Danio rerio: one gene and its partner. The protein of the gene in region 1 interacts with the protein of each later gene in a pairwise test. Links are inferred from orthologs where the notes say so. Each region holds a gene or a part of one and is shown in the gene's direction. Other genes may lie near its edges.

Region 1 (4,312 bases):
ACACACTGTAACACTGATTTCTTTGATTTCCTTATTTCAGTGGCCAACAAGTGGATTCGTACGTATGGGCAAGAGTTCAGAAGAAAGTGCTCCACAATCAAATCTGATTAAAACACCCAGATAAGAGAGAGAGAGAAAATAAATCATGCTCCAAGATGCAGTGAAGAGACAATGTGATGTTATGAAAAAAGTGTGTATATTATTATTGATTATAAGCGTTAAATAACACAGATATTACCAATATTATTCTGCTTGAGATTGCTGTTTCATCCACATTCCTGCTATTCACATTTTTGTACTTTTTGTCTTCTGTGTTTAGCGTATGTTGTTTTGCACACTTAACAATAAAATAACAATAATTTTGTCCACCACTACCACTATCTATCCATCCATCCATCCATGCATCCATCCATCCATCCATCCATCCATCCATCCATCCATCCATCCATCCATCCATCCATCCATCTATCTATCATCTATCTATCTATCTATCTATCTATCTATCTATCTATCTATCTATCTATCTATCTATCTATCTATCTATCTATCTATCTCTATCTATCATCTATCTATCATCTATCTATCATCTATCTATCTATCTATCTATCTATCTATCTATCTATCTATCTATCTATCTATCTATCTATCTATCAATCTTTCCATCCATCCATCCATCCATCCATCCATCCATCCATCCATCCATCCATCCATCCATCCATCCATCTATCTATCTATCTATCTATCTATCTATCTATCTATCTATCTATCTATCTATCTATCTATCTATCTATCTATCTATCTATCTATCTATCTATCTGTCTGTCTGTCTGTCTGTCTGTCTGTCTGTCTGTCTGTCTGTCTGTCTGTCTGTCTGTCTGTCTGTCTGTCTGTCTATCTATCTATCTATCTATCTATCTATCTATCTATCATTCCATCCATCCATCCATCCATCCATCCATCTATCTATCTATCTATCAATCCATCAATCAATCTTTCCATCCATCCATCCATCCATCCATCCATCCATCCATCCATCCATCCATCCATCCATCCATCCATCCATCCATCCATCTATCCATCACTCTATCTATCTATCTATCTATCTATCTATCTATCTATCTATCTATCTATACATCAATCAATCTATCTATCTATCTATCTATCTATCTATCTATCTATCTATCTATCTATCTATCTATCTATCTATCTATCTATCTATCTATCTATCTATCTATCTATCTATCTATCTATCTATCTATCTATCTATCTATCTATCTATCTATCTATCTATCTATCTATCTATCTATCTATCTATCATCTCCCTCTCTGCTGAAAGACTGCAGTGAGTGACCTGTGAATGTGATGAGGTCATTATGACAGTGGTAGTAGGCGGGGACACGCAGCATCCGGAGGCGGAGCCACGCAGCATCACTCTGACAGCGGCAGGAGGGCGGTGTTACGCAGCATCATCTGAGCTGCTCGTCGTTTTATTGTACGGCTGCTGATGCTGAGAGGTCGAGCTGAGAAATATATATAAACCATGGTCGCGGATTTAAGCTTTGCAGACCGCGTTGCATCGTGGCGGACTGTTTTCTAGGTAAGCAGAGCTTTATTCTTGGCGTCTTTGAGTCGCGGGTGTTTTAATTGGACGAGCGCTCCGTCGCTGAGATGGATGGAGAAATACTGATTATAGCAGATGCAGATGGCTGGAAAACACACGGAATTAGGCCACGCTATGAAAGTATGAATTGGTTGTGTTTTATGATGGTGTTTGCTCGTGTGATGTGCTGTGTTTGTGTGGATGTGTGTAAGACAGTGAATGGGCGAGCTCGGCCTGCGTGTGATTCAGCCTCTCTGCAGGCCTGAGGAGACACTAATGCGGTGCTTTACACACACTATACACACACTTATACACACACTGTACATGTCTGCATTTATTCTGCTCAATAGCGTACAGATTTCACCACAGGAGGATCATTTGACAGGCCTGAGGCGAACTGTCACATGAACGCGACGACGGTGTCAAAACACAAATGTGACTCAATATAAAAAAAGATATTGTTAATAATTGTCTTAAAGGGGTTAGTTCACTCGAAAATGGAAATTCTGTAATCATTTAGCCTACTCAAGCTCCACTTATGTCCCGGACATGTTTGAGTTTCCATTGAACACGGTTATTTTGAAAATTGTAACCGTTGACTTACTACTTGCTTTTCCCATTGATGGACGTCAACGGTTACAGGTTTTCTAACGTATTTCAAATAATTTTTGTGTTCAACAATAAGGGAATGGGATATAATTTTTGTTGAACTACCTCTTTGACGAAAAAGTTTGCCCGAAAATGAAAATTTGTTCATCGTTTAGGCTATTCAAGCTCCACTTGTAAAGGGTTGACTTTGATCAAAACCCAACGTCATGGCAATGTCCAACCTAAAAGCATCAAAATATCAACTTCTAATGAAGTTACAGCTTTACGTTATGTGGATGTTACCACTATGACGTCTATCAATCGTTGGATTTTGGTTGCCATGCCCAAAGAATAAATGTCAGTATTTGATGTCAATATGACGTCGGTTTAAGATGTTAGCTCGACGTTTGATTTTGGTCACTTCTGAACACAACCTAAATCAACCAAATATTCGCGTCATTTGACTTCATTATTGGACATCAAAGTAATGTTGTCCTTAGACGCTGACTAGAAATTTTGGGTACCTGATGTCACAACCTAAATCTAACTTAATATTAAGGTCTTATAGCATGGCATTGTGTGCCTGCTGGGTAGTAAGTAAATTAAATTTTTTGAGCGAACTATCCCTTAAATAAAAGTTTACCCTAAAATGAAAATTCTGTCGTCATTTAGGCCATTCAAGCTCCACTTGTTCACAGACATGTTTGAGTTTATGTTTTTCTATTAAACACAGTTATTTAGAAAATAGCTGGAAACCATTGACACTCATAGCACTTGCTTTTCTCATTCTGGAAGTTAATGGTTACAGGTTTTCTAATGTATTTTAAAAAATTCATTTCATGTGCAACAAAAAAGGAATGTAATGTAATTTTTGGGTGAACTACCTCTTTGACTAAATAGTTTGCCCGAAAGTGAAAATGTGTTCATTGTTTAGGCTATTCAGGCTCAAATTGTACACAGTTTGAGTTTATAATCTTCTGTTCAACACGGTTATTTTGAAAATAGCTGTAATCCATTGACTCCCATAGTACTTTATCCGTAGTTCACACAAAAATGAAAATACTGTCATCATCTACTCATCCTTTTCTTGTTTCAAACCTTTATGAGTTTCTGTCTTCTGTTGAACAGAAAAGAAGATATTTAGTAAAATGTTTGAAACCTGTAACCATTGAGTTCCATAAAATTTCAATGTCAATGAACACAGATTTTCAACATTCTTCAAAATATCTTCTTTTGTGTTCAACAGAAGAAAGAAACTCAAAGATTTTGAACCACTTGAGGGTGAAAATAAAAAAAATGAAATAAATAAAAACTAAATAAAATGATATATATATATATATATATATATATATATATATATATATATATATATATATATATATATATAATAAATAAATAAATATATATAAGTAATAAAGTAAAAAATAAAGTAAATAAATATATAAATAAATAAAAATGAAAAAAGAAATATATATATATTAAATGAATAAAAACGAGATAAATTATATATATATATATATATATATATATATATATATATATATATATATATATTAAAGTAAATAAATATATAAAATAAATATAAAATAAATAATTAAATATGAAATAAATAAATAAAATATTTATATATTAAATAAAAAATAATTCATAAATAAAATAAATATTTAAAAATTATGTTTTTTCAAAAGTATATATGTAGCGTATAATATTAGCTGTTACTTTTTATTTATTTATTTATACATAATTGAAACAAAAAAATAGATATTCACTTGAATTTATTTCGGGCAACCAAAAACTCCAAAAACCCTGCATGAACGGATTACCTGGGAGAGAGAGTCCTGTTGCATGTTTTGCGGATGCAGAATGCACCCTTAGAATTGTTTGTGTGTGTGTGTGTGTGTATGTGTGTGTTTATTACACCATTGCCCAGCTTTTTTTCTTTTTTCATTACATGGGTTGAACTGACCTATGTATAGTAGTCACCCTGAGTGATTATGTGTGTGTTGTCTGGAGTTTGGTGTCAGTGGATGAATGTAAAAGTGGGTCATGATGCCACTGTGTTTGTACGTTTGCCTCATGCGGGCAGGAAATGGGCCAGAACAGCTGAAGGGAAAACCAACTGTA
Region 2 (3,841 bases), on another chromosome or scaffold:
TTACTATTACTATTATTACTATTATTATTACAACTATTATTATTATTATTATTATTATTATTATTATAACTATTATTATTATTATTATTGTTATTATTGTTATTATTATTATTATTATTATTACTATTATTATTATTACTACTACTATTATTATTATTACTATTATTATTATTATTATTATTATTATTTTTACTATTATTATTATTATTATTATTATTATTATTATTATTCAAGCTGAAAACTTTTTGCTTTTTTTTTGCTTACCCCATTGCACATCAAGACACTGGTAGCATCTTTTAGCTTTAAATTCCCTGTAAAATTAAAATAACCCGTTTTAGATGTATCAGGATGCTAGTCTTAACTGTCAGTTCAAGTTTAGCCATGAAACCTCCAACACTACATTGACCAGTGTTTCAGTTTTATTGTCCAACCCCTGTAGGTCAAACATTATGTGTCAAACCTACCTATTTTGACCACGATTGACTCTAATTTAAGCTGTGATTGGCCCAGTTAAGCTTTTTTTAAACTCTGAGATAGATTTGAACTGAAAAGGGGGCTTTCAAGACCCTTTAAGTGGGTCGCGGCAAAAATGCTGACATTCCTTTTATTTATCTCAGATTTTAACCTGCAGCTGTTTTATTTATTTATTTACTTATTTACAGTTTTCTCGCTTACTGGCTAATAAACAGCTTACTTAGCAGATTCTGATGTGTAGCTTTATTTATGGAAAACATTTCAGACTGTAAATCATGGACCCTGTTTAAACTGCTGTAAAAGTGAAGTATTGACAAGGTCATAGAGATTCTTTTCCAATTTTCTGCCTGTCAGCCCTGATACATCATTCTCTCTCTGTACTCGCTTCTCATTCACTCTCACACTTCTTTTTAATTTACATCAAACTGAGCTGATTAACTGCATTTGAGCGATCAGGGTTCTGGCCCGGCATGGGTGAATCTAAATTAATAGGTTTTTAAAATAATCATTTATACTGTTATAATAATTTAAAACTGTTCTTTTTTTTCTTTTTTCTTTTTTTTTTTTTTTGCCAGAGTTCTCTTTCTTTGACCCGAATGATCCTCTGTGTCAGGAGGTTCTGCAGGATCCCCAGACCACCGTTCCAGAGCTCTTTGCCGTCCTCAGGCAGTGGGTTCCCCAAGTCCAGCGGAATATTAGTATCATTGGTAATGAGGTCAGAACTATTTTTAAGTCTTGTGATTTTAAAGGAGAAACAAAACATGAAAAAGTCATTTAAATGTAATATTATATGTGCTTATAACATCTGTAGTCAACTAAAACTAAACCACACAAAAAAGTAGCTTGATTAAAAACAAGCATTGAAATGTTGAAAATGAAAATACTCCCACTGGCCACTTTATTAGGTACACCTGTCCAACTGCTCGTTATTGCAAATTTCTAATCAGCCAACATGGCAGCAATTCAATGTATTTAGGCATGTAGACATGGTCAAGACGATCTGCTGCAATTCAAAGCAAGCATCAGAATGGGGAAGAAAGGTGATTTAAGTGACTTTGAACGTGTCGTTATTTCTGGTGCCAGACGGGCTGGTGTGAAAATTTCAGAAACTGCTGATCTACTGGGATTTTCACACACAACCATCTCTAGGGTTTACAGAGAATGTTTAAAATATATATATATAAAATATGCAATGAGTGGCAGTTCTGTGGATGCAAATTCCTTGTTGATGCCGAAGGTCAGAGGAGAATGGCCAACAGTAACTCAAATAACCACTCGTTACAACTGTATGCAGAAGAGCTTCTCTGAATGCACAACACGTCCAACCTTGAGGCGGATAGGCCACAGCAGCAGAAGATTGGAAAAATGTTGCCTGGTCTGATGAGTCTCCATTTCTGCTGAGACATTCAGATGGTAGGGTCAGAATTTGGAATCAACAACATGAAAGCATGGATCCATCTTGCCTTGTATCAATGGTTCAGGCTGGTGGTGGTGTGGAGGATATTTTCTTGGCAAATGATGAGTATTGTTGCTGACCATGTCCGTCCCTTTATGACCACAGGGACTATCTTCTGATGGTTATTTCCAACAGGATAAAACGCCATGTCATAAAGCTCAAATCTTCTTAGACTGGTTTCTTAAATATGACAATGTGTTCACTGTACTCAAATGCCAATAGAGCACCTTTTTGAATGTGGTAGGAGATTGGCATCATGGATGTGCAGCCAGCAAATCAGCAGCAACTACATGATGCTATCATGTCAATTTGGAGCAAAATCTTTGAGGAATATTTCCAGTACCTTGTTGAATCTATGCCACGGAGAATTAAGGCAGTTCTGAAGGCAAAAGGGGGTCCAAGCGGGTAGTATCTAATAGAGTGAGTGCATATATATGTGTATATAATAAAACTAATTCCAATAATTCCATTATTTTACTCACCTTAAGATTATTATTTTTTTACATTGTAAACTTATTAGTAAAATATTATGTACTGTCATCATGGCAAAGACAAAAAAAAAAAAAAAGATTAATTGATTTAGATTTGTTATTATTAAGCATTTGTACTTCATATTTTCATTTGTACTTTTCCAGGAGGATAAACTGTGAATATTTTTAAAACGTATGATGGGTTTTTGTGACATCTAGTGGATAAAAAGAGAAAAACACATAAATACGAAAACTTGCTTTTAACCATGGTAGGTCTTTTACTCCAGTATACTCTAATAAGTGTTAATATGTAACCATTTTGGATAAAATAAAAACATATATTATGTTTATATTAACTATGTGTTTGGCTATAGCCTTTTTGTTGCTTAAATGAATCTTTTAACACTATAAGTAAATAAATAATTGGTTCAGTAATTTTTTCAGGGAAGAAGATTTTAGAGTCAAAGAAAGTACATGCAAATTGATTTGATTTGAATTTATTTAATGAGAGATTGTCAAACAGATACAGTAGAAGTCAGAATTATTACCTCTTTTGTGAATTGTTATTTTTACTTATTTTATTATTATTATTATTATTTTCATATTTCCCAAATGATGTTTAACAGAGCAAGGAAATTTCCACAGTATGTCTGATAATATTTTTTGTTCTGGAGAAAGTCTTGTTTGTTTTATTTTCACTAGAATAAAAGCAGTTTTTAGGTTTTTTTAAAGCTATTTTAAGGTCCAAACTATTAGTCCCCTTAAGTAATACACACACACACACACACACACACACACACACACACACACACACACACACACACATATATATATATATATATATATATATATATATATATATATATATATATATATATATATATATATATATATATATATATATTTATAGTCTACAGAACAAACCATTATTATACAATGACTTTCCTTGTTACACTAATTTGCCAAATTAACCAGGTTAAGTCTTTAAATGTAATTTTTATCTGAATACTAGTACCTTAAATAAAAATATAATTAAATATTATTTACTTTCGTCATGGCAAAGATAAAATAAATCCGTTATTAGAGATTAATTATTAAAACTAATATGTTCAGAAATGTGTTGAAAAAAATCTTCTCTCCGTTAAACAGAAATTGGGGAAAAATTATACAGGTGGTCTAATAATTCTGACTTTCACTGTATATATTTGTGTGAAAAACACATTGACTGTTGAATTATACTTAAAAAAGCCAAGTAAACAGGGTCAATTTTAATTTCATGTTTTCTCACAGCTCTCATAAAACATACCCACACACTCCCCCACACTGCGTTTAGTGTCGGGCTTTGTGTACTGAAATATTACTTCTGCAGACTGTGTGTTTCTCTCTTTCAGCATGAAATCTTTTGCTGAATGTTCTTTAACTATTGAAGTGATATTTGCTT

The links.
Region 2: the proteins of jakmip2 (region 1) and zgc:103755 interact in binary tests that used the Homo sapiens proteins (3 or more experiments, as listed by UniProt). The two-hybrid records come from large-scale screens. The link is inferred for Danio rerio from reciprocal best matches to the Homo sapiens genes JAKMIP2 and CLIP4.

The regions. Positions count from the first base shown.
Region 1 is NC_133196.1:46,819,365-46,823,676, reverse strand, and holds the start of jakmip2 (janus kinase and microtubule-interacting protein 2), read left to right. Parts: upstream 1-1,455; 5' UTR 1,456-1,597; intron 1,598-4,312. Other genes in the region: prolyl 4-hydroxylase subunit alpha-2, read left to right, coding at 41-111.
Region 2 is NC_133192.1:53,008,451-53,012,291, forward strand, and holds part of zgc:103755 (uncharacterized protein LOC449988), read left to right. Parts: intron 1-1,049; coding exon 1,050-1,189; intron 1,190-3,841.